Linked DNA regions of Styela clava. The protein of the gene in region 2 purifies or fractionates together with the protein of the main gene of each other region. This does not show direct contact. Links are inferred from orthologs where the notes say so. Each region holds a gene or a part of one and is shown on either strand. Other genes may lie near its edges.

Region 1 (4,849 bases), on a different chromosome or scaffold from region 2:
TGAATTCCATCAATTTTTTTAAGTCTAGTGAAAGTAATTTTTTGTATTTTTTTTAAATCAAATGACATTGGAATTTTATTGAACTGCATTCCTTTCACCGAAAAAGTTGAAATTTCACCCAGGTTTTGATGGTTTTAAAAATGGCCTAAAATGTAGAAATTTTGGTATAATTGACATATTTTGTGATGATTCCTGTTTTGATTGTGTGATACAGTTATTTCATATGGTCTAAATGGACTCATTGAATTTAAGTTAATAAAGTTTAAATGGTTGCAGTGCTGTAGGACATTTCTTCACCCTTTTAACGATTTATTACCATAATTTTGAGAGATGATAGAGGCCGCTGTTCCGAAGTGGAAAAATGTCCTGTGGTGTCACATACAATATCCACATTATTGGCATGGATTTACACTGTTACATTAGGGGAATTGAGCAACACATAGAGGGGTCCTTCAGCTACTGCACCAGAAAATATTATGGGCTCCTGCTGTACCAACGCAAAAATTTACAGCACAACATAATGTACTGTTAATGCATGGTGGATTTACCGTCCTGTAGTGTCACACTATATTTTACTATATTTTTTATATCCACTAAGAATGGGTGTGTCTCTTGGGTTGAACTTTTGTTGAATTTTTTTCCATATTCAATAAAGCAACTGATTGGACAATGAAACAAAACATGTAGCTGAAAATGTAAAAATATATTGCATCTAACAACATGAAAATTTTCTGAAATTGTCCTGTAGTGTCTCTTGGAATAGCCCATTTATGTAGCCTATTGCTTCATTAAAAATCATTGCTTTTTCATTAAATATCAGTTTATTATACTAACTCTTGGTCTGATTCTTATGCTCAGCTATTTAATATGCAACTATTAAAAAAATATATGTGGACTATATATTTTGAATAATCTGCCCTTGTATGATAGTAATTATTGTCATTAGTGCCCAATTGCAGCATTCAAAAAATGGACCTTTTCCATTTACTCCCACCCTGACTAATATCCATAATTCATTTCATTTTTTGTTTGATAATGCTGCAAATTTTTAGGATTTAGTCGATTAATGGTGAATGCATTGATAAAGATGAATGGGCCCCATAAAAAAAATAGTATCCAAATATTGAGGCGCAGTTCTTACCACTTTATGGCAGCTCCTGCCACAAACGAACCGCGGCAGCTCTTGCAATGGTTTTATAGCGCTTTTCAGTAATCAGTATTAACGGTATATTCACAAATTAATGTACCAGATTTTAATTGATCATGCGGAATTATATCTACTCAAACCCTAACCCCAAATCCATCAAAACTGTATCCATAAGAAAAACGTTCCAACTCACCCAATATTTTTCACCATAAGGGACAGCCCTTTCTTTACGACCCACCTGCCGTGGTTATGGCAGCAAAATTTTACCTGCCATTGGTTTTCAATTTGCTGCCGGGGTAACGGCAACCTGTCATTGGTTTGTGGCAGCTAAAAAGTCAGTCGCCATAGGTTTGGCCGTAGCGGCCATGGTATGGAAAAACCGCCATGGTTTTGCGGAAGCTGCAGGCGCAACAAAATACTTAAAACTGCACTTGCAAATATTAGTGGGGGTGGGTTCATTTTTTTCACATATTCACATTTTTTTTTTACTTTATGTCATCTGACATTATGTTTTAAATATTAAATTATTAATATTCATCCGTCCACCAAATGACAGAATTATGTGATAGATTATTCTTCAATATACTGATATACTTGCTCTGTATATCATCACCTTTTGCCCTATGATACAACTACAAGATATACATCTGACCAACTTACAGTTACAGTAATCACCAAATTGTTTTATCAATTACAGTATACAAATATTATCATGGTTCGAGTATTAATTGTTGGGGCAGGTTTAACTGGTGCACTTTGTGCTCATATGTTACGAAGGCACCTTCCAACACAACTTCAATGTCAGATTGTTGTTTGGGAAAAATCTCGCGGAGTTGGTGGAAGAATGTCTTTGTCAAGACCATCTGAAATGGAAGACTGTTCTGCTGAACTTGGTGCCCAATATGTTGAACAGCATACCAAGTATATTGAACAACATAAATATTTTTATAATGAATTATTGGAATCTGGAATACTGAAACCCCTTGAAGGCAAAATTGATGGTTTTCGTGAAGGGATAAGTGAGAATTTTACTTGTGGTGGCGGTTTAAATATGATGGCAAAACATTTTTTTGCCAAATCTTTGGTAGAAACCTGTTTTAACGTTAGACTGGACAGTCTGAGACTTACTAGCGATGACCAAGAAGCAAGTTGGAATGTATGGGAGGCTGCAACAACCAGTGGAAAGCATGATCACTTTGATGCAGTTTTTCTGACAATGCCTATACCCCAGATTTTAGGAATTGAAGGTATTACAGACAATTTGCAGAAGCAGCAAATTTCAGATCTTGAAGGGGCAAGTTATTCCTCCAGATTTGCAGTGGGGTTGTTCTATGAACCTGGTGCTTATAATATCGATCTCCCCTATGTTGCTAAATTTGTTGTCGATAATGAAGTTATCTGTTTCATATCTGTTGATCAAAAGAAAAGAGGAATCGAAAGGTGAGAGAAAATATGATTTCTGATTGCTTTTTCATGTGCTTATGCGGTGATGGATGTTGCCAAGAGTCTGCGAGTGATACAATTGTTTCTAAATTATGGATGACATGGCTTTTATTAATAAGTCCAAAAAACATCTTGTATGGAATATTTTAGTGTTTTTGTGGTGATATTCGAGTATTGAATTTGAATTGGCCATCCCTGTTTTTATGTGCGTAAATCACTAAATCAAACTATTTTTTTCAGAGATGTAGTTAACACATAAATTTATAAAGTCGGGGCCCAGTGATGAAATCTTTTTTATAACTTGGAAATGATTTCTGGAGTATGATTGGGTCTATTTTTCTAGTGCAATATTTATTTAAAATTTGCATTTCTCCCAAGGGATGCATTTTCTTGTCTTGCTTCATAAACAAGTCTTGTTTTTCATGCTACCTTTGATTATATTCAACTATCATGTAAACTTATTTTTTATGGTGTCATCCTTTTGTGCTTCAATTTTTTGTTAATCTTTTTAATACTAGCATTTATATTTTTGAAGGAAAACTCAATCTATTGTTGTTCATACTTCTGCACCATTTGGAAAATCACATTTAGAAGAAGACGCTGAAAAAGTTGGCCCACTCATCATTGAGGAACTTAAAAAAATTATCCCTGATCTTCCAGAACCTACCTATGTCAAATATCACAAATGGAGATATTCTCAAGTCACCAAAGCAACTGAATCTTCTTATGGATGCTTGGTACCAAGAAATAAACCTTTGCTGGTATTGGCAGGAGATGGTTTTACTCACTCTAACTTTGATGGATGTGTTCAATCTGCTATAGTTGTTGAAAAGGAAATTTCGAAATGGCTTTCAAGTAGTGTACTGTAACCTATTTACAAGCAAATTTACAATTACTTAATTAAGATAAAAAGTGCATTTCTGTGCTTTTTCCTTTACATGAAAGATACGGTATTCATGTACAGACCAGTGGTTTTTTAATCGGGATTCCTCGGAAGTTGGCAGAACCCTAGTACAGCCCGGGGGTTACGCAAGTTCACATTACCTATTTGCAACTATTATTTTCTCCACTAAAGTTCATTTTGATTAACAGTATTTCGTTCGCTCTTATTATATTTATAGTTAATACAATTTAGACAATAAAAGACAGGGTTCCTCCAAGTTTAATAAAAACCACAGGCACAACCCTTTCTGGTTAGCTCTTCAAATATTTTGTGCACTTATTATGCTTTGCTGTTTCATGCTTTTATGTGACTTCACTAAAAACTTACCATATCTTTCGTTAACTTAATAATGACTGATCACAAATTTTCCCATTTTCAGGGATATAGCGCTATAAATAATTTAACAAAAATGGCTGAAAAACCAGAAGATTTGAACCTTCCTAATGCAGTCATAGCGAGAATCATGAAAGAAGCTCTTCCTGAAGGAGTGATCGTTTCAAAAGAAGCAAGAGCAGCAATATCAAAAGCAGCCAGTGTTTTTGTTCTTTATTGTACTTCTTGTGCTAATAACTCTGCAATGCAACAAAAGCGTAAAACTTTGAAAGACATTGATGTCCTATCAGCAGTTGAAGAAATGGATTTTGAAGGCTTTATACCAAGCTTAAAACAAAGTCTTGATGCATTCAAGGCCGAACAGAAGGAAAAGAAAGAAGCATCTGAAAAAAGGAAAAAATTAATAAAAGAAGCTCAATCTGTAGATGTAGAGAATGAACCCGTGACTGAAACTGTTGTTGTTGAATAATTCTTTATTATAATAGTACTCAAATTTCTGGCGCATTAAACTTGATTCCAGTTATTCTCGGAGACTTGCAGACTTGAGTGAGATCTTGTTTTAGTTTCCAGCCATGTGGTGCGCCTGCAAACTCATCAGAAAATCCCAATTCTACAACGTGAGAGTGCCTAGGAGAATAAAATTATATTCTGATTTAGTGACTGTGCATCCTGGTATCAATAACTAACAAATTAGTTTTTGTAGAATGACTCCCAATTGTAAACTACAAGTTCATTTATGTGATAAATGTACTATCTTGTTATTATACTTTGATTTTGTTTGTTTATAACAGGGATGTCCGAATCCATTTTTCAAATTAATTATATTTAGTATTTCCAGTTCTCCAAAAATTATCGTTTGGGTATTGGAAGTCCTCAAACTTTTGATGTTTAAATACTCTTTATCCTTACTATTGCGTACTTCCAAATTTTCTCCTAATGTGTTCTTCGTTGAACGTGACACAATTATGTATACATTTAATATT
Region 2 (7,405 bases):
ATATACTGGGTTGGTTGAATGGTGGTGAACCAAGAGGTCCCTCTATCACTGGTTTACTTGACTGAATGATGCATTTTCTTAACAACTGAAACAAAATAATCAAAAATAATAAGCTGAGTATCCAACAGTTAAATAATTACTTAATTAGCATGTGATGACCGATGACTAGCAGTTAAAGCGGTAAACTTAAAATCGGTATGGCCGTCGCCAACTTGTGTTCAAATCTCACACCCATTAGAGCAGCGATTCCCAAACTATGGGTTGCGACCCACTGGTGGGTCACAAACGGAATCTTAGTGGGTCGTGAAAAGATGTAGAAAGCATTGGTTAATTATGCTGGTTATTAGGATCGGTGGCGACTCGAATACGCAAATCTTTAAAAAAGCAAAAGAAATTAAATTGAATTTAAATTCTAATCTGTGAAAGTTTCTTTTTTACGATCTTCTCAAAAGAACAAAAATTTGCTACACAAAGAATGACCATGTGGCTTTTTTTTTGCATAGCAGTTTTGTACACTGCACAGCACTTCTTACCGTGTTTCCCCGAAATTTAGACAGAATTTAGATTTATTTTCTTTTGAAGGATAACACTACGGTTTTTTTGGGGAAAGGGTCTTTTGTGTTCATTTATTGAAAAAAAAATTATATTGTAGAAAATCACAAGATGTTTTACTAAACATTATATAAAAACCGACATCCATTGTTTTTATTTGTATTTGCTATACAAAAATCAAGTGACAAATATCATAATTGTGATATTACACAATCTTGAATAGTGGTGTGATTTTCACCTTACCTCAGGCCAATGAACCTTTCTTCTCCCCACAAATTAAAAATTATTTTAAGGGTAGGGTTTAAATAAAATCATTTTGAAAATTTAAATTATTATCTTATTTTCAGGCCAGGTCTTATTTTTGAGGAAACACAGTAGTTTTGCGGTGATTAGCCATTGCTGTGTTTGTGTTACATCATAAAAAAACAAAAAAAAACTGAATTAGAGTTAAGTGGGTCGCCATAAGCTGTGGTAATAAATAGTGGGTCCCATCCCAACTCCAAAAAGTTTGGGAACCACTGCATTAGAGTGTATTAGGGCTTAGGCGACATTCAACCACATAGATCCTTCCAAAAATATCTCTCCTTAAATATTGATATATATAATATGCCGCCACTTGGTGGTTGTACAGAATAATCAGTAGAAAAACATTGCGATTCTCACTCTGAATAAATAGAAATAAACTTGTTTGGAATCACCATCTTCTTCCTTCTGAACACATTGAAAAAGATTTTCAACATCAACAACCATTCCTAATAATCTGTTGATTTCATCTTCTCCTGAAAAAGTATTAAAACAAAAATTTCATTGAATATTGTATTGCCTAGTTGCAATCTTCTTCAATGAATCAATGTGGACATAAATATGAGTAGGACTATACTAAATTCTATCATATTGTAATCATTTAATGAGCAAAATCTATCATTTAATTAAATCAAAAATGAAAATTTGAAGATAGCAGAGATATTTAAAAGCTTATAATTTATTTCTACACCTAACCAACGAGATAATGTTTAAAATCAATTCAAAGTTCACAAAACTAAAATTTTCGACGGAAGAGAAGTAAATTATCCGTAGGCCTACATATCATGATTTTGATCCCTAAATGCATAACAAAATAAACACATGACATAAACTGTTAAGAATGATGCATACCACTCATTTCCAAATGGGAAACATGATTCTGCAGAGCATGTGTACAACTCCTGCATTTGCTTTCTAACGTCACTGTGCTTTGAACCTGAAAAACGAATAAACAAATCAGTAATGGCATCAAAAACAAGTATTTTTCACAAACACTGCAAAAACTTGGAGGTTGCAAATTGCAGATTGAGTAGTAATCACCCGCCATTCCGATCTTCATCCAGAATAAGTATCCTTTTCATCAATCTTATTTCTTTAATTATCACACCATAGAATCAATATGAAAATCCATTCCAATGTAATATATTATCAATAGTCCACCAATATTTTGTGAAAAGTTGGAAGATTTGGTCTAGTTGAAAATAATTGCCCAACAGAAATAAGGGATTATGCTAATAATTTTGAAACCAACCTACCACCTTACCTGTTGTGATGAAGATGCATCAGGTTGAGCTGTTGCTAATTGATTGTAAGGATTTTTCCAACCGTTGCATTTACATCCTTCATCCTGAAAAGTCAGAACAAAATAAATGAAGCAATTAAAATAATTTGACATATGATGAGGATCGCTAGGCAATGGCACAATATAACCCGAGAATCGGATTTTCAAAGCTGTAGTTTATCACAATGAACCTTAGTCATTTTTGAACCTATCCCATGTGAAAAAACACAAAGAGGCATGAACCAATTTTTTTATCGTTGGGTCTTGAGAGAATGTGGTCACAAAGATGGGAAGACTTTTTGTATTATGCCACAGCATAGGCGTTGGTACAATTGTCTGATGGAATCCGAACTAACTGTGTCTGTATAAAAAGTATACATGTAGCCTATTATATTCTCCATAATGAGAGTTTCAGTATAGAAATTTCATATTTATACTGAGGGTAGGAAAGCCAACAACTGAATCAAATTGCAAGCCACGGCCTCTTGTCTGGTTACCAGTCCATGCCGGGGGCTACCTATGACAATGAGTAGTCAAGTGATCCTCTCAGTCTCTCACACATAATTCTTATAATTTTTACCAACCTATAGTAAGATGGATGGGATGTACCAGACTTTAAAAGGAAAGGTTGAATGAACATCATTTAAAAAAAAATTGATCAGCACTGATGTATACTAACCTTACATGATGAGTAAACACCAATTTTCTCAAGTTTCTTAACCCGTGGATAACCTCGAACTTGTGCCTTACGTTGTTGGATTTTTGCAAGGTTGGCAGATCGAGCTAGTTCACTTGGGACGAACGACTGCCGAGAAGATTTCTTTTGTGACGTCTCAGCTTTCACATTAGTTGAATTATCCATGTATGTTGGCTATATCAGTATTCTACAAATAGGTGGAAACATAAAATGTAAGAAATGGAAAGTTAAGGAAACGTGTCATCTATCATCAAAGGCATCAGGATCAGGACATTTACAAAAATTGTAAAAAATAAACAAATAATTGCACATTAAAAATCATTTTCATGTAAGAACATGGCTGATCAGTAAAAAATACTTATGCAGACTAAGATATTTGTCTTATTTGCAGAACAATGCAGCAATGTAGATTTGGAGTTGGATGTTTTTGGCATTGGAATTGGATCAGTGTTAAAACTTCTCGGAACCGCAGACAAGGTCGAAATATCAAATTTTTTGGTTTTGAAGTTGACCTTCCAGAATCAAAATAGTGATAAACAAAATCGAAATTTTAGACAGAAATTCATAAAGCATAAATCCGCATTGTAAACACGTAATTCATAAGTCTTGCCAAAACCCAAATTTTCGTACCAAAATTTAGTTTCATCAGAGTTCGAAACTGGAGTCTTCAGGTAACATTTTTGTTAAGTAGGTGTCAAGAGCCAATATTTAAATGAATAAGAGTTTGGAATCAGGTGTACGGTTTCCCAGAATCCGAGTCCTGATAGGCTAAGTATAACGATACAAACAAAAATTTTATGTTATATTGGCAACACTGTAATTTTCTTTGATAAAGTTTGCTTCTTAAAAATGGTTTCACGCATTATGTTATCTAGTTCTTCCAAAGCAAGCTGAGCATGTAGTTGTACCGCAGTATCCTCATCTCTTTCATATAAAAACTTCAATGTTCGATACATTTGTTTTGTAACATTAGAAAATATCTGTATAAAATTGCTACCAAGTTTAGTTATAAGATTACGAATAGCATGCACAGCTGCTCTACGAACCATAGGATCAGGATCCGATTTTGCAGTACTGCTGAGACACTCATTTATTTCTTGTTGTATTTGAGATAAATAATATGGTGCCATAGGTGCAAGTTCAGAAAAATTTGATAAACAACTTGCTCTCATGTCAGGATTAACATGTCTAGAACCTTTCAGAAACTCTGGTAATAGTATAGAAGCGTGATACGGTCCCATATCACCCATATGCCGAATTATTCTCATTATAATTTCACCCACTTTCATTTTTGCATCAATGGTATTATTTGAATTATTTTTTTGGGTTTTGGTTTCAGAATCTCTCATAAATATATTGATTAACTTTTTTAGGAGAGACTCTGAAGCAATATTGCTTACAGACAAAGACCCGATTACTGCTAAAGCTTGTACAGCAGATAAATAAACAAATGAATCCTGGTTGTCCAAGCATTCTACAAAAATTTCAACCAGTTTGTCCAATTTTTTAAAAGCAATTGGCAGTTTTCTTTCAATGCATTTAGTCAAATAACGAATTGAACCTCCTTTTATGGCAGGACTGGGGTCAAATACTTCATCTAATGATTGAGAAAATGATAGATTGAAATCTTCTTCATTAGCGATAGAATCAGTCACTGAAGTGGAATGAGTCTCTTTACTACTATTCTTAATGGTATCTTCACTACTTGAAGACTGATCCCTGCCAGAAGAATTCAAAACAGTATCCCGATCTGTATCAACAAGCAATGGTGCTGCTTGCGATGGCAATGTAGTTTCTTCATTACATTTTGGTTGGGTTTCTTTACTCAAATCCATATTTTCAAACTTTTTCATTTGTTCTTTCATTAATACTGAGAATGCATCCATTGAAGTTTCATTTACAGCGCCATACGTTGATATTGCAATTGTAAGATCCGACAACAAATCTCTTGTATGTTTATCCAAATTATTATTACCGCATATTTTTTGCAACAATGGAACCACAGACAACAGTTCACTCTTTTCTTCAGAGGTCATATCGCTCATTAGACATATTCCCAATACACTGGCACAAGTTCCTAACATTTCGAGTGAATTATTATCCAGACTTTGCAACATTGTTTTGATAAAGCTAATTATTTGAGAAACATCAGAAAGTAAAGTGTTCGGATTGTATGTCTCACACATTGTCGTTAATAAACCGAAAGTAATAAATCGAGTCTCGTTATTTTTCAAAGCTTGAACAGCTCGATCTTCAGGTGTCATTATAATTTTGTCCTCATTAATTTCATTTGGAAAATTTTTCGATGGATCGCAAATAATTTTTAAAAGTGAAATAAACACAACACCAATAAATCCGCTATTATCCATATTCGATAAAATGTCTAGCAATACATTTACTTTAATATCTTGATGTTGTAAGACTTCTGAAGGTTCAAAAAATTTGTTGTTAGCTATTGGACAAACGTTTCCATTTGCATCCACTTCAAACTTCAGATTAATCAATGGAGTTTTAATCCCAAGTTCTGTGCTTTTAATTTGCCCGTACATTGAAAAAAACATTTCCTCTGCTTTCAAGTCATCTGAACATTTTAAGGATTTACATAAAAGTTCTTTAGTCAATAAGTTTAGATGAGAAGAAGTTTCATTTGTATCACAAATCAACTGAAAGAATATTTTCAAATAGGGTTTGATGAGTGCAGAAAGTGCTACATCAGGAACAATTCCGATGGAAATACAAATATCATGTAAGTTTTCAATGCAGTCATTTATTTCTTCAGAAGAAACATTTTCATGGAACATTTTTTCTTTTCCGATTGTAAAACAGCATTCCGACAAAGGTTTACATATGATACTTTCCAATATATCCGATTCTGAATGATATTTTTCGTAAAGAGCATGCAGAGTAGTAACAGCTACTTTTCTGACAACATGCATAGCTTCAGAATTGTCTTTTCGCGAATCAGAAATCAACTCAATCGCTTGATGGCCAATCGAAATACAATATTTTTTAGCAGGAATACCCTTCGAAGGAAGGGTAGAAATAATTGAAGAAAGTGCAACTATATGCTCCCATCCAGCAGTTTTGAAATCAGAATCGCGCGAGTTTTCGACAACTGCAGAAATAATAGCTTTCATGCCCTCTTTTTCCAGCAATGTTCTTGATAATATTGATCCACATTTCTCTCGCAACCATTTTGGCGAAAGTCTTGTTTCTGGGTTTCCTTGTAGTACAAAAATCTCTTGTATAAGACGGCTTTTTGAAATCCATGATTCTATTATTTCATTAAGAACTTGTAAACATCTTTTTCGATCTTTCATGTCTATTAATCTGGCGGAATTTGGAGAAAAACATAATTGCATATAAGATGCAATAATCTCAGGTAATAAATTCTTGGTGACTATGTTTCTGATTTCAATGGCTTTGCAAATAACATGGATAAATAAGGAATTCTCAAGAAGCATTCCATATTTTTGTCTTGGGGTAAATTCAGTATAGAAATGTGAAATTTTTGAAATCATAATTCCTTGTATACTTGGTTCAAGATGAGATACAATGCCAAATTTGAACACAAATTGCAATAGGCAAGACACATGATCCACATCTGCGACTGATAAATATGGTCCTTCAGAAAGATTACCAATATTCTCAAGTTCCTTACCAAGTTTTAAAAGCAGAATTTGTATACACTGTATAAACTTTTGTAGCACAAAATATACTGATATTTTTGCCTGAGATTCAGAAAGTTCTACACTGTCAAACTGTATTTCGCTCTCTTTCAACAAATTGATAACAGTTTGATACATTCCTTCCAGGGTATGTACATCACCACTTGAAACTTCATGTTTCAATCTGATAACATCAGTGACATTTGCAATCACAGCCTTGATATCATCCATTTCTCAAATTAGGCAAAATAGATAGAGTTGAACTGCTGGACAAAAGAGGAATTGAATTAAGTCAGATAATTTCATATTTTATATGCAGGTGAAGACAGTTCAGAGACAGAGCATTAGTAACCACTCTACTAACTTTATGAGATTTTCACAGCTATATTAACCAACGGCTGAAATTCTCTGTTGAAAATAATATTCGATCTATAATTGTCATGCAGCCGACTTTGAGTTAGGTTGGATGTGCTAAAACTAAACTTTCGGGTCATGAGGTGGCATAAGACAGTTCGAGTTAGGAGTTTGATTCCCATTGCAGCCTTGGGAGTTGTTTAAACAAAATAATAAATAGATATACAAATACATCTGTAGGCTACATGTAAATTTCAGAATTTATGGGACATTTGGGCATAAGTTATTCATCACAATTCTGCAATTAGACAGTAGATATATATATACTGGCCATACTATGCCCAAAAATTCCACATGTCAGCATTTATTTGTGTATTATTCGGTTAATATTTCTGAATAGACTAATCTTCAAGGGACTGAAAATCCAACTCATAATAACGTCTCTTCACCTTGGGTACGGAAATTCTGTGGGCCCTTAGTGGGTGGGCACAAAGGTCAGTAGATTATATCACTAAAACTGGCCATGCATTTTCAGACCATTCAAAAACT
Region 3 (7,459 bases), on a different chromosome or scaffold from region 2:
TGTACTTGACCAGTATTACAATGAGGTATACCAACAACAAGTTGCAGTTCCTGTATCTCACGAATACACCCCAACAGCAGTGTTCCCTCTTGTACTCTTTTGCAATGCAAAAAATCCACATTTATTTCATCCATCCCTTGTAACAATCCATCCACATCTTTAATACCATGACTTTTGATTATTTCATCTTTTTCTTTTGGTTTTTTCTTTTCTTTTGTAAAATGCCCACCCGTAGATGACTTGCTTCCTTCTGAAAACAGAGAATCAACTGCGGCTTGGCGTTTGGCACCCTTCTTCTTAAAAGTCGATGGTTCACGCTTTGCTTTTCCTCTCGGAAATAATATTTCGTCCATAGTCGAAAAATTAGAGTTACGAATGTAATTTAACTTTTACCAAAATTTCTGCTGTATAAAAAAGATAAACGAATAAACATTAGGAAAGAAAAAAAGGTTTCTGTTTTACCAAAAAAAGTCAATTTTTCTCAAAATTCCAACAATGTGTAATTTGCAAAGATAGAGAAACAACAGTAATAGAAAATAATACATACTCACATCACATAATATCATATTAATGAGTTCTCATGTCTTTTCAAATTAGGGTTTTAAACTACAACTCGTAAGTTGTGATACAAGATATTGCAGGAACAATTGACAAACCAAATTACTCAGCATCTATTCAAAATGACCATGGTATGTTTAGTTTTGATAAACAAAATGCATATAAGATTACTCAAAAAATTTACCATTGTCAGGGAAATGTCATGATTGTTTAAAATATGAAACACGTTATTGTAAAAATAGACCATTTAGATTAATTGAATTCTAATTACCGGTATTGATATTTCAACATCCCCATACACGATAGAGGTTGTGTGCATGGGTATGTTTACCACGAGTCCAATTAGATTCAAACCAAACTTATAATCTGTAACTGTGCGTTGAATATAAATCAGTTCAATTGTTCTAACTGTTTGACCAAACTTTCTCGTTCTTTTATAGCTTTCAATGCACTTTCTTTTTCCTTTTTCATCAAATTTCTTTTTTTCTGTCGAGCAGCAAAAACCTTTCTGTAATGTTCAGTAACTTCAATGTTTGTTATTTCAATATTTTTTCTCAATTCTTGTTTTTTCATATCATCTCTGGAAAGTTTCAAAAGTTGTGAAACAATTGTCCTATTTCTATCACCTATTGCCCTCAATTCTTGTTGACATCGTTTCAGTTCCAAAAGAACTTCATCTTCATCTTTATCATTTTCAGAAAAATGATCAATAAGACCTTGTTCATATAGTTCAGCCTTTATTCGGGCCTCCAGTTTTGTGGTATGGGGAGAACTAGATGCCTTGCCATTTTTGGAAGCAACATTTTGGTCATTGTTCGTAAGAGCTTCAAATGCTTTTCCATCATTGGCAAGACCAGAATCCAGTGGCGCTATTATATTTTCTTGCACGAAAGCAGAAACCAATCGCTGGGTAAGTGACCCATATGGGCATGGTTCTGCATCATTCAAATTTTCTGCTGTTTTTTTCATTATCCTCTGAATAGATGACTCAGTATTACTATTATTTTTTCCAATTCTACCCCCTTCTTTTTCCTCCATTGCCAAATCTTCTTCTGCCCAAACTTGACTGAAATGTTTGCCAAGAGGGGGAATTTCAAAATATTCCTCAGAAATTGGTTTTTCCATTTTCTCTAAAAGCGAAATTGTTTCTTGTGGTATGGGCCCACAGTATGTATCAACCATTTGCCAAAACTTATTAGGAACTTCAGCATTCCTTTGTAAAACGGGTAATTCGTCATTTGTTTCTGTTTCAATGCGAGAGCCTTTTGCCTTCGACCTGCCAGCACCACTTGGTGATGACGTTGAACTATTCAAATGAAATAAGGGTTTTATAGCATGAATATGAGATGATGAGTCTGATGTTTTCATCTTTTTGACTGGACGATCTTCAACTATTCGAGAGCGCTTATGCTCAGTATCTTTGCCTCTGGAAACTTTTTTGTCTTTTTTATTGTCTTGTAGGTCTGACAATATGCCAATCTCCGAGTTCAATTGTCTCATCCTTTGTGATGCAGCGGCAAGTAGTTGTTCCAACTCCATTTGTAAAGAATCTAATTCATCCAATGATACTCCATCATCTTTATGCCGATTAACGATATTTGTGTATCTTGGACAATTTTTAGCATGATCCACAGGCTTCACATCAGGAAATTGTAAGAAACAATCTTTCAAGTCCATTGCAATAATGTTACTGTATTATACAAATGCCAATACTATATCAAAAGTATGGTTTGTTAATTAGAGATAAGGTTAGAACTATTAAATATGCACCATTTTATTTAGGATGCATGATTGCCAATCAATGAATAGTAAAAATTAAGGTTGCAATACACCTTGTTTTACTGGACATGTTCTGATTTTCGCCATTCAATTTATTGTGAAATTGAATGTATGTAGGACACAGTGCTTAAATTCCAAGATGTTCCGACATTTGATTCAATAAAAATAACAATATATGTATCTGAATGAGGGTGTTTGACACTACGGCAGGCAGATCACGTCATGCTTGTCTCAATGATAATTTAAATCAATAGCAACGTGCGTGATATTCTGATAAAATTTATTTCCTTTGATAAATCGAACTATTTTTTTCCGGGGTGTCCAATGATGATGTTTTGAGGATTGCACTTCTTTTTAGTTTATTGTGCGGTGCCGGTGTGCTCTTTTGTGCCGATATGAAGGCCCAGATTGTCTCATAAAAGAGGGGGTTGCATTCACTGTTATAATTGATGTCTCTTAATGTGGGGGCTATTCTTGGAATCAGAGAACTGTGCCGTACTGAACGTGTATGAAATAAAAACAATATCTGAGATTTTCTCAGGTCACTTAAAACGTATGAAATATTGCAGAGTCGATTCACTAACAGTATTTCATTGTGACTGTGAATTTGGATATTTTAGAATTCAACCTTTTTCATATAAAATGTCATTTTTGCAACTTGAAATTGTTAGTCAGTAATTTCTGCGCTTTCCAGAGTACAATTTAGACAAATTAGGAATGTCAAGGCCAGGGATTGATAGAGAGCCCTGGCAGTCTTTATTTTATGTGTCTGTATTGAGTTGTCTACTTATGTTGGTGACATCAACAAAGGGTAGGTAGGCTACATCTCTTTTCTCGGTGACTACATGAATTCAGTAGGGCACATATTTCTGATTCCAAGATATCCCGATATTTGGTTCAATAAAATAAAAACCTTATTTATCTCTGAAACGTGGACGTCTGGCACGATGGCAGATCGTGCCCTGCTTGTCTCGAAAATAATCTAAATCAATCGCGGCCATCACATATTCGAAATTGAGTTTTTTGCTAAGACACTTGAACGTTACGCGCACGCTTAAACGATATAATATTTTTTTTTTATTCTGTAATTCGGTTTATTTTTTTTCCAATGGATCCGATGGTGGCGTCTTTAGATCACACTTTCTTTTAGTTTATTGCGCTGTGAATTTTGCCGATATGGAGGCACAGACTGTCCCGTAAAGGAGGGGTTTGCACTCACTGTCATAAGTGATGTATTTTAATGTGAAATCTATTTTTGGAATTGGAGACCTGTGGAATTGCAAAGACTTTATGTTCTCTAGTGCCAGCCTCCATCTACTTTTTGTATGGGCCTCTTTTGTGACTAATCTCAGAATTCAGGCATGTCTGTCAGTAGACACACATTTCTGCATTTACCTACCGGTACCTGTAACAGTAATATGGCTCTATGACGAGATTTTACATTGGCGTAGTAAGGTGGGGTCTAGGATAGGATTTACATATCTTTATCCATATGGCGAACCACAACCTCTCGTCCGGTTACCATTTCCATGTCAGTTAGGGATTAGTGATTTGTTTTTCGGAAGCATGAACTTGGAGGAAGCCGTAACCGACCAGCAGTTACGTGAACCACCCTACGGCGGCGATAGATAATGATTTATTTCCGATACAAGTACATAATACAGTAAGCATAGCAAACAACAATAGGCATAAAAATATATACGGACGAGGATGGACAAGAATTCAAAGGTCAACCGACCCCTAAGGAGAGATTCTACCAGGACAGGACACTCTAAAGCAGGCATCATAATTACAATAAGAGGATAATAAATTTTTGAGTTTTAAGCCCGTTTAGGAGGCCTCAGAAATCAATTCCCCAAAAGTACAGAAATAAGAACAAAAATTACAAGGAACAAGAAACGGGAACATCACATAATTTCGCAGATCATAATGTTTTTTAATAGGAATAAAAAATGTGAAAAAAAAGAGAAAGAATAAGAAGGGCGTAGGGCCAATTATAATTTCCTCAAATTTAATTTTACTTTATGTTAGACAAGAATCAAATCGTGACAATGAGGCAATTTCTGAATGGGTGAAAAATTTAAAATACCATATTTCCAAAGCTATATAGTACATATAAACACTTCAGACTATTTATAACAGCATCTTCAATAATTTTCACCGAGGCATACGAAAATCCATCTATAAAAATGGTGAATTCCTATCCATTTTGTGAATCTGATAGCATACACGGAGATTTGGACGATATTGCATCATACTGTCATATTATAATCGGCCAAGGCGCCAATAAACGCTGTTTTAATTTGCATATAGGGTGGTGGTGGTATCAATCAAAGAATAAAAATTACAAATGAAAAAAAGAACATCGCATGATTGTGCAGGAGGAGTCCAGCAATCCTCACACACCTAATCATACCTGCGAACCTGCCAACCCACGCAAAGTAATCAGAGGTGTGATGGTGAGCGTATTCCTAACACTTAGCACGATGAGCCACACCGCCGCGCGCGCCTAGGAATAACATATGCGAAAATGGTTAGACCACGCTCACCCCGTACAGTCTGACAGTACGGTACCGGTACCGGTACCTATCACTGTACTGTACAGCTGTACCATGTACCGGGACTGTACACCGTCTGACTGGTACCCCCGTACCCCCGTACGGTACCGGTACCGGTACTAAACAATCATTCGCCAAAATAATTAGTTTCATTGAATTCAATAAATTAATGATACCGGTACGATTCCGTACAGCACAGTCGTGCTGCACCTGGCGAGAGCCTAGTAGTGACATACCGGTACCGGTACTGCTTAAATTACTTAAACTGTCAAAGACAATTACCACAAAACCAGGCTGCCTGCAACTAGCGAACTATCAATCCTTGTTGGGGGTGGGCGGTGTGGAGCATCGTGCGCCCGAGCAGTTCTTACCACTTCATGGCGGTTTCTGCCACGAACGAACCGCGGCGTCTCATGCCATGGTTTTATGGCGCCATGGACCTTTCCCCGAGTATCGACTTTCTTGTTTACTTCGTGACATTGGCCAATCAGCAAGTTGCAAAAAGTGACGTAACAATGCCCCCTTATACTTATATACTTATACTTTTCGCATCCGCCCAGACATTTTTCTTACTCAGACAGATTTTCAAGCGTGGTTGTAAACATTACCTCGTTTTCGCGTTTTTAAACTCTATTCGTGAGTTTTTAGTTGTGTTTCGGAAACTTGAATATAAATCAGATAATTCAATGATCACTCTGTCTTCCCAGGAGTTTTAATTTAATTGCAGTAATAAAAATTAGTGTAGAAATAGCTGTAATAGACTAGCTTGAAATCCTTTACCGGTACTTTAAAAAAACAGATTGTTGTATGCGATGAATTATAATGATGATTAGAAACACATACCCCATTTTACAGGCACCAACTCGCAAAAGCACTCTTAAAATAGCCCCAAAAATTTTGCAATGGTAAAGTATAGGAAGAATTTCCGGGGGTCAGAGGTCGGGGAAAGGTCCATTACCGCTATATTCACAAAGTCATGTACCATATACAAGTTTATCATGGGGAATTATATCTACCTAAACATGAAACCTAATCCCAAATCTAGCACGGGCGATTTATCATTTGTCTGGATCGGTACGTTACGGCTGTACGGTATGGGGCAGGCGCAGAGAGTGTTTCAGTAGACTATATTCTACGAGACTATCCGTATCTCCCATTCTTTCATGAGTGATTGCATGGGTACCGGTACGGTCAGACGGTACCGTACCGGCATCGCACGAGTGTCCAGACAACTACGCAGTTAAGCAGCATTTTCCAATTAAATTACCTTCTACACGTGAAAACAAATTTTCGTATCCAATTCTATATTCTCTTATCATTATTATAAATATATTGCTTGTGGTTGAACTTGTAGTATGGAGAATTTATAGAACATTTTCATGTTGAATTTATTGGATATTGCTCATGAAAATCAGTAGTGAGTTAGAAACCAAGGAAACACATTTGTGCGTGTAGGATTAAGCCTGACAACGTTGGTCCCAAGCAGCATCAAATTTTTCAAAAATAAAAACGCGTCACAACGATGGGCCACGAGGCGGACCATCGTTGTCAACCTTTTTATTTTCTTTTTATTCAATTTTTTTTTTTTAATTTCAATTTTTTTTGTTTTTTTTTTCAATTTTTTTTTTTTAATTTCAATTTTTTTTTATTTCTTTTTTTCAATTATTTTTATGTTTTTTCACATCTATTTTTTTATTTTCGCTTTTTCATTTTATTTTATCATTTTTTTTTTTCAAATTTTACACGTGACAACGATGGGCCACCATACAGTACCGATACGATATGAATCAGTTCGCATCAGACAAATTGACTATAGTCACTTTGGCATCAGATCATGCTGGTCTGCGTGAAGTTTATCATGGAAAACTGATCGAAGCTGAGGATAACGTGAACAGTCGAACGTCAGATGTAACGGATATTTGATGATAGATTCCATAAAAAATACTGTTTACACTTACACAGTATAAGTTCACAAAGCACAGGGATTTTGATGAAAACTAAATTTGGAATGCCAGGACGTGGAATGCTTTTGTTGCATTTCACTTCATTCGTTGTTGTTAACTTTTCACGCTGCTTTTATTATTGTCGTTATCGTCCAATAGGCTATTAGTTGAGTACATTCAGAATCACATCAATTATCACATATTGGTTAAAAATGAGAAATTCGCATCCCCGTCGGAAACAGTCGCCGCGATTACGAGCTCGTTTAAAGAGCGGCCTTCTCAGCGTAAAATGATTTTTCTGTCGCGTAAAATACTTAATCCATTACAACTACAAGAACCTAAAATGTGCTTATATATTAATTTAATTCAGCCCAACATAACTCGCGGTTGCGTCTTCTTCTGTCAAAATAAAAACAGTAGAGGGAAAGTGGGGAAGGTTGGGACACTTTTTTTCTTTTGCATATTTTGAGCCGTTAATTCTGCATATTCTCTTAAGTTTGCGGGACTAATGCATAGAGGGGTAAATGTAGTTTTTATTCAGCAACAAAGAAATTCCCTTGCGACACACATCTTACTACCAAAATGCTTTGAAAAACGTCAAGTGTCCCACTGTACCCCACT
Region 4 (7,368 bases), on a different chromosome or scaffold from region 2:
ACCTCATCCAGGATGTAATAAATTGGGCAATGCTGAAAAGATTCTGATCATATCAAAAATGGAAGCTTTTTACAGATTAATTGATATCAGTGGCTTCTAGTACATAGCCTTGTTTAAGAGTGAAAGGTGTAATGAAAGCAATGTATTAAAAAATGATATTCAGCAATCTTCTTGTAGGATCTGAGATTTATGGTGAAAAACATGTATTCAAAAGAAGGCACAGAAATTCCTATCACATATTTACGCCCAATTAAAAGTGCCAATGCTTTTCATGTATATCCCTCAACTTTATATTCAATACTTTACCATATTTCTTGGTAGTTCTGAATAGATTCTCTTCACAAGAGCAAGAAAATGTTGGATCTGAAACAATATAATAAAAATTAACAAACAATTTATATCCATGCCTAATCCAAAGTTCCAAACAAGCAAACACAATATCTATATAACAAATGCACAAACTTAAGACAGTCAAGACTACTTTTCATCCCACAGTCAGCTTAGAATTAGAAGTGGATATATTATAGCAGGCATGTTGATTTAATACACTTGATTATGTTATTATTGCAATTAGAGACATCAGGTTCAAATTCCATGTCTATCATTCCAGCTTGGGTTGTCAGAACATTGGGTAGGTTGTGCAGAAACAAAAAATTAGACCCCTTTCGCAAAGTTCATCCATTAGCGATTACTTGAGTAGAGTCTTGTTGAGTGTTTGAATGCAACTTGTACAAAATAACCTCAAAAACTTTGGCCAGTATTCCCAAAATCACACATATCTTGAAAATGGACGAGACTAACAAAAGAGTATTAGGATTAGTAAAATGAAAATTAGCGAAATATCAAAATACAGCTAAAACTTTTACCTCTGGTGCCATTTGTGGTCTGAATTGTTTATGGAGCTCAATCAATATTTTTAAACAAACTTGAACATTTTCTTCATTGTCAACCTGGATTGCAAAAGACAATTTTTAATATTTAAATTCTCAATATGGCTGAAAATTGAATATCAGTGGCTGATTATACATGACCTTGTTCCAAGCAAAATATGTGAATAAGTATCGTATAAAAAACAATTATTTTAATGTACGACATCTTTTCCATCTTTTTTTAAGCAAACACACAAAGCATTACAATGGTTACTTCGTAGTGTGTGTATCAGGTTAGGGTTAGGCCATAATTTTTTTCCGATTTTCCTTATTTTAGTTTTAGTACGAGTTCAGGACCTGTCTGTGTTAGCCAAGTGAGTCTTTCCCTGCCAATATGTTCAGTCCCTTTACGTTACCGTACCGTCCATATTGGTACATAACACTTCAAATATAATTTTTGATTTTTAGGCAAGTTAAGTCAATTTACTTGAGTTAAGTATGAATTACTTGTACATTACCTCAAGTAGTTGGAAGCATAAATTGAGAATCATTTTAACATGAGGTTTCAAATAATCATTTGTTGGAATCCGATGTAGAATGTCAAGAACAAGTTTGCGAAGTTGCTGTAAAAAAAGAACGTTAAATAAAATATCCATTGTAATAATGATAGCCCGATATAAAATAGGTTCGCAATTTTGATAATTATTAAATGTAGAAGTGGGCAAGATTGAAATCTCAGAGATAGATTTGAAAAGCAAGTTGTTTTAAGTAAAATATTTCGATAATCTCTTAGAAATATTTTGGTGCTGTTATATGTATACTAGGTGTCACATTTTTAACTAATTAGATCCAAAACTCAACTTTGTTGGCATCGGAAATTAAAAAAATAGTTAATTACAGCTCCCAGCTCCACCTGTGTTAAATTGGAGGCAACGTAAAACAGTAAAGATTTTCAGGTTATTGTAGAAATAAAAGAGATATTAAAGACTGTTGTTCAGAACTGTAATAAGTGTGAAAATCTAACCTTTGACCTCATATAAATACAAGGTCAATTTCTATTTCCAAATGAATAATTCACCATTATAGTTTTCTAACCTGGCCATGATTTTCCAGTACAAAGCTTGGTTCTCCATCTTGCAATAATTTGACAAATCTTGGAACACAATGATTTAGAAACACTTGATACTGAGGAGAATGTGCAATGTCCTGAAGAATTAATTATTGATAATTAATAATAAATAATGAATACCGAATGAATAATGAAAAAGCATAAATATGGTGGTAATTTAAGTGGATTATTTCAGCAATTACAGTAAAACAGAAAGCATTTATCTGATTTCATTTATATTTAAAAAGTTCAAAAAGGAATGAACAAAAATCTGAATTTCATATTAATATCATTTAAGTAAGTATAAGAGCAGAGTAAAAAAACATCCAAACTTCGATCAAATAACTGCATAGCAATAAAAAATTGTACAAACCTCGAAATGTTCGCTCACTTCTTGAGCAACTTTCAACTTATTTTCATCCTCTGTTAGAAATGAAAACAGCATATAAAACACAAAATATAAAAATACAGAAAACTAAAAATTCAAAACAATATTCATAAAAACAGTAATAGGACCATCTCCAATTCTTATGGGATTAAGATTTACATATAAGACGGCTTAATCACATGGCAAACCACGGAATCTCATCCTGCTGCCAGTCCACGTTGGGTATGGGATTAGATAGCCAGTGGATAGACTTGACGGCAGAGGACCCCTCACCGCCCAGCGATTATTAAAACTACTTTACGGCAGCGAGGTGTCCAGAAATCTTCTCGAATATAATTAACCCCCACTGGATACGACCTGCAAACTCACGGACAGATGGAGGGTCTTAGCATGATGCGCAACACCGCCGAATTCTTGAATTACAGTCTGAAGTAGAAACATTCTTGTAGCAGAAAATGCGCTGATAAAAATCAAAATTTTACTTACGAGCCAGTGGATCATTGAGCAGAGACACATATTCCTTGTATTTGTTTATTTCTTGGTTGATGTCAGATGACACTGAGTGAAGCATGGTTCATGCAACCATATACATACAATGATACAACAGTGACAGACCCACTGTCTTATGCCGTAATTGTATATTTAGTCAATATCTGTATTAAGTGAAAATCAGTGATTTGGTAAATCGGAAAAAAACACTACCTTATAAAACCAATATGTAGGTAGGTATAGGGAGTAACTTAAGGAGCTGGGAAAATCGAAAATAGCTTTTCTCAGCTGTCTCTACTTACAGACTTAATAAAACTCTTACTGTCTTAGTAGAATATAGGATAGGATAGGATTTACATATTTATCCCGGGGGAGTAGAAAGCCGATAAGATGGCTTATCCATATGGCGAACCACGGCCTCTCGTCCGGTTACCATTCCAAGTCGGGTATGGGATTAGTTTTACTGTATTGTTTGTTTTCGGAAGCATGGACTTGGTGGTGGAGGAAGCCGTAACTGACCAGCGGTTACGTGAACCACCCAACGACGGCGAGGAGTCCAGCAATCCTCTCGCACATAACCATCCCTGCATGGGATTTGAACCTGCGAACCCACGCAGAGTAGTTAGAGGTGCGGTGGCGAGCGTATTTCTACTGCTTAGCCCGTTGAGCCACACCGCCGCGCGGATTAGTCAGTTTTTCCTCATTTGTCAGATATTCCTCATTTTAGGCTTTTACATCTTACTTTCATGTGTGCACTGAATTAAAGTAACCCATCTATGTATTCACGAGCCTTTACTACGTTAGCGCAAACTTGAAAAAAAATCTGCACAACTCAGACACACCAACAATTCTATACTACGTGTCTTATTCCGGTTTATACTTACCGGCACCAGGCGCCTTCTCGTCTATTTATTCAAAAAATCGAGAAACAATATAATACTGTGCATATACTACCACATCTATTTGCGCAAATATGACAAAAAACTTGAAGACGTGCGTAAAAAATCTGAAACTGATTTGCTAGGGTTCTGAATTGAAGCAACCTCGCCGTTTTTTGCCTGTCTGCACAATATTTAGTATCGTACTAAGTTTTATTCACGACTTTTGCCACAAGAGGGCTTTTATGTGTAGGTTGAGAGTGTTAATATGTCGTTTTATCCGATTAGGATTGTCCTCATTGTTCTCGCCTTGCATTAATCGAAATAGGTATTAGCTTGAAGTCTGTTAGTATGATTTCATCTTGAGTTTATGAATATTACCTAACTAAAACTGCAAATATCTACTCGGACGACGACACTGCTGATTTTATCAAGTTGGACCCATTGAGGTGAATACACTTCAACGGTTGAACCTGATACAGCATGGACACATTCGACTTTATCATCGCTGGAAGAGACAAATAAGGAAAGAAACTAACATCAACTTATTCACTGATTAAAAGATTTTAAGCTATTTTTCTGTGCACCTTAAGTAGTAATGACAGAACAGTTCATGAAAATTATCCAACACATTTTAGATGCATTGTTGAAAATAATATCATTTTGGGGACCCTAGAGACCATTTGGAAGTGTAAATGTGCCTGCTGTAGGCACTAGATGGAACAAGAAAGCAAGCGATGCTCAAATATATGAACACAAAATCCAAAACAAAGTTCCAATCGTTACGAGTATTATTTATTCTCCGAGTTTTGCGTGGGTTTCGCATCAACTCGGAAACAGCCGTCACGCTTGGTGGATTAAATACCGTAAAAAGAAGAAAAATTCGAACAAAAACATCATAATAGCAGAACGATCCATAGTTCCATTTCAAGTCCGGTAATATTTATCGGGTTGAAAGTTAAATGGCTGCACTGCTGCGGTAAAAATATTATAAAATGTTTTTCTGTGTGATTAACATTAAAGCATGCATTTGGGTACAAACATTAATCTGTAAAATTTACAAATTTAATAACTCTTTCTTGACTCAGTGTTTTTGGCTTTGATATTTCTCAATATTGATTTCAAATAATATTCATTCTATTATGTGCTTGCTTTGTTTTTGTAGATGGGCGAGCATTTGCGCGTGTTCCAATCTCATTCTAGACAGCATTTTATTTGTATTGCATCCTTCTGTATTTTTCTCGTTCGAGCAGCCGAAATATATTATTGTAATATATATATATTTGACCAGAACATGCAAAATGCTTGCGACTAGTCGACAACTGCTGACCACCAACCATATTTCAAAATATTCGAAAATTCGTTTATCATAGACGACAATGAATGAACAGTATCGAATTTATATTTACGCATGCATTTTATGTTTCGCAATACACAATATGTGAAGAAAGCGGAATATTATACAAAAGCAATGAAAAATTAATGGCTTAGTTATACATTTGAAGATACGAAAAGCAACGTTTTATATTCATTTATGTAATAAACTTATTTGTAAATAAGATAACCCATAAGGTCCAGATTTACAGACTTCCAATCCATTTGACCAAAGATCTTCGAAGAATAGTATGATCAAAAGCGATTAGAAGATACCCTTATGGTTAAAACAAAATGGGTCTTCAAAAGTATCCAGAAATAATTAAAAAAGTAGGCTACAAGAAAGGTCAAAAGAAAGATTTATTTTTTTCAATTCATCGTATTGAAAGCTTGAAAACCGTCGTTTTCTCTAAACCGTTTCTTTTGGAAAAAGCTAGATAAAAATATCTGAATCTGAATCTGATAGTCTTAAACTATGATCAAGTTCGTTTGCGTCTTGGTTGGAAACAAAATGGGTGTTCAAAATATATTTAGAAAAGTGAAGGAACAGTAAAATAGAGTTTGTGGTTTTTAATCGAAGGATTGAATGATCGACCATAATAACTGTCAAACCGTCATTTTCGGTCACACCGTTTATTCAAACCGTTTATTTTAGAAACATCTGCCCCCAAATTTTGATTTAATCTCGTTTATTTTCAGTTAAAACGCTGAAATTTCCACATCTGGATTGTCTTTCGCGGCTTGTTCCTGAACCTGATCTTGGTTCGCATCGCTCTCGCTAACGCGAGGACTTCTTTTTGGACTCTCAGGTTTTCCATTTTCAATCTCCAAGTGATTTTCTTGGGTTTCTGGCGTTTCTTGATCTGGAATCTCTTGCTTTGGCGGTTCCTTTGGCGCCTGTCGTTTTTTAACCGGAGTTTGAGTTTCGTTTATTTCTGGTTGTTTCTTAACTTCGCCGTTTTCACGTCGTGGACTTGAATGACCTGACGTTGGATCGATTTTCTTAGACGCAAAGTATTCGGCGAGTTGCGATGGGATTTTTTGCAACAAATTGCGACCGAGTGTATCCATCGATTCCTGTATCAAAAATGTAAAATACGTAAATAATATATATAATCCAATGATTTGAAATAAGTTCTGATGAGAATACTGTATTACTTGAACTCTACAAATATTATAGAGCGGACGAGCGAGGATAAAGCTGTTCAAGATTAAAATTGAAAGATTAGATTTCTGCGAACATCAGCATAGAGTTTAAAAAATTGAGAAATTTTCATGTGCGGTTCAGTTAGCATGTTTCAAAAAATATCTCGCAAATAATATTCCTGCCAGTTGTAGAATTATTTTATATACATTGTTATCAGATAAATTCAGATAAAAAGTCTTTTTATAACTTGCGAATTTTCACCAGAAATACAACAATGAAAGATGTGTCATTTTCAGTACAAAGTTAATGTAAGACATATGCATACATTCCCAACTGGAATGTTTTATTTCTTATTATCAACGCATTTAAAAAGAGCGAAAATGAGGACAATAATGAAATGTTAGTTTGTGACTAGTTTTTGTATATATAATATCACGATGAATGTTTGTATACAGTTTACTTGATACTTATGACGAAAATCCTACTCACAAAATTAAACTTTCGGAATGAGACAATCTGAGTAATATCTCTTGCAGCGCACTCTCCTTCTTGAGTCTTGATATGCTTTGCTCCTTTGCTCATAAACTCCATATCACTGAAGTCTGCATTTCCAATCCCAACAATGACGATTGAAATTGGAAGTTTTGAAGCGCGGACAAGAGCCTTCTTCGTTTCATCCATATCTGTCACCACACCGTCAGTCAAGATAAGGAGAACTTGATACTCCTGTTAAAATTGGAATGGAAGAAAATAAAATATAGTTTTTTACAAAAAATTAACGCACGGGCCACGGCCCCTCTTCAATTGTCAATATAACGAAATAGTCTTGTTCACTTTGGTTACATTATTTTACGAGCCTTGTAATTATTGTACTGCAATCACTAAACCAACTGAAATCTAATGCGAAATGCACGAAAATCGCTCTGAATTGCGAAACATAAAATGCATGCGTTAATAGAAATTCAATACTGTTTATTCATTGGCTTTACTCTCTGTGATATACGAAATTTGAATGTTTTAAAATCTGGTTGGCGGTCAGTAGTCAGTCGAATAGTCCAAGCATTTGTGTATTCTGGTCAATTTTTTACAATATTATATATCGGCTGCTCTTACAA

Evidence for each region. The genes of interacting proteins can lie anywhere in the genome.
Region 1: the proteins of histone acetyltransferase KAT2A-like (region 2) and DNA polymerase epsilon subunit 3-like purify together in Drosophila melanogaster (affinity purification with mass spectrometry; 3 studies listed by BioGRID). This does not show direct contact. The link is inferred for Styela clava from reciprocal best matches to the Drosophila melanogaster genes Gcn5 and Chrac-14.
Region 3: the proteins of histone acetyltransferase KAT2A-like (region 2) and transcriptional adapter 3-like purify together in Drosophila melanogaster (affinity purification with western blotting; 3 studies listed by BioGRID, with this or other methods). This does not show direct contact. The link is inferred for Styela clava from reciprocal best matches to the Drosophila melanogaster genes Gcn5 and Ada3.
Region 4: the proteins of histone acetyltransferase KAT2A-like (region 2) and transformation/transcription domain-associated protein-like purify together in Drosophila melanogaster (affinity purification with western blotting; 4 studies listed by BioGRID). This does not show direct contact. The link is inferred for Styela clava from reciprocal best matches to the Drosophila melanogaster genes Gcn5 and Nipped-A.

The regions. Positions count from the first base shown.
Region 1 is NC_135251.1:20,534,840-20,539,688, forward strand, and holds DNA polymerase epsilon subunit 3-like, read left to right. Parts: upstream 1-3,942; coding exon 3,943-4,335; downstream 4,336-4,849. Other genes in the region: renalase-like, read left to right, coding at 1,860-2,587, 3,126-3,459. UniProt on the Drosophila melanogaster protein: Accessory component of the DNA polymerase epsilon complex. Participates in DNA repair and in chromosomal DNA replication. Histone-like protein which promotes nucleosome sliding of ATP-dependent nucleosome remodeling complexes.
Region 2 is NC_135256.1:13,953,144-13,960,548, reverse strand, and holds the start of histone acetyltransferase KAT2A-like, read right to left. Parts: upstream 3,012-7,405; 5' UTR 3,000-3,011; coding exon 2,817-2,999; intron 2,204-2,816; coding exon 2,120-2,203; intron 1,793-2,119; coding exon 1,708-1,792; intron 1,332-1,707; coding exon 1,216-1,331; intron 86-1,215; coding exon 1-85. Other genes in the region: transport and Golgi organization protein 6 homolog, read right to left, coding at 3,635-6,733.
Region 3 is NC_135257.1:11,363,267-11,370,725, reverse strand, and holds transcriptional adapter 3-like, read right to left. Parts: upstream 3,015-7,459; 5' UTR 2,236-3,014; coding exon 949-2,235; 3' UTR 511-948; downstream 1-510. Other genes in the region: protein RRP5 homolog, read right to left, coding at 1-353.
Region 4 is NC_135262.1:5,122,411-5,129,778, reverse strand, and holds the start of transformation/transcription domain-associated protein-like, read right to left. Parts: upstream 3,015-7,368; 5' UTR 2,937-3,014; coding exon 2,852-2,936; intron 2,401-2,851; coding exon 2,351-2,400; intron 2,076-2,350; coding exon 1,965-2,075; intron 1,493-1,964; coding exon 1,388-1,492; intron 951-1,387; coding exon 867-950; intron 364-866; coding exon 307-363; intron 1-306. Other genes in the region: copine-3-like, read right to left, coding at 5,806-6,183, 6,743-6,979. UniProt on the Drosophila melanogaster protein: Part of the Tip60 chromatin-remodeling complex which is involved in DNA repair. Upon induction of DNA double-strand breaks, this complex acetylates phosphorylated H2AV in nucleosomes and exchanges it with unmodified H2AV.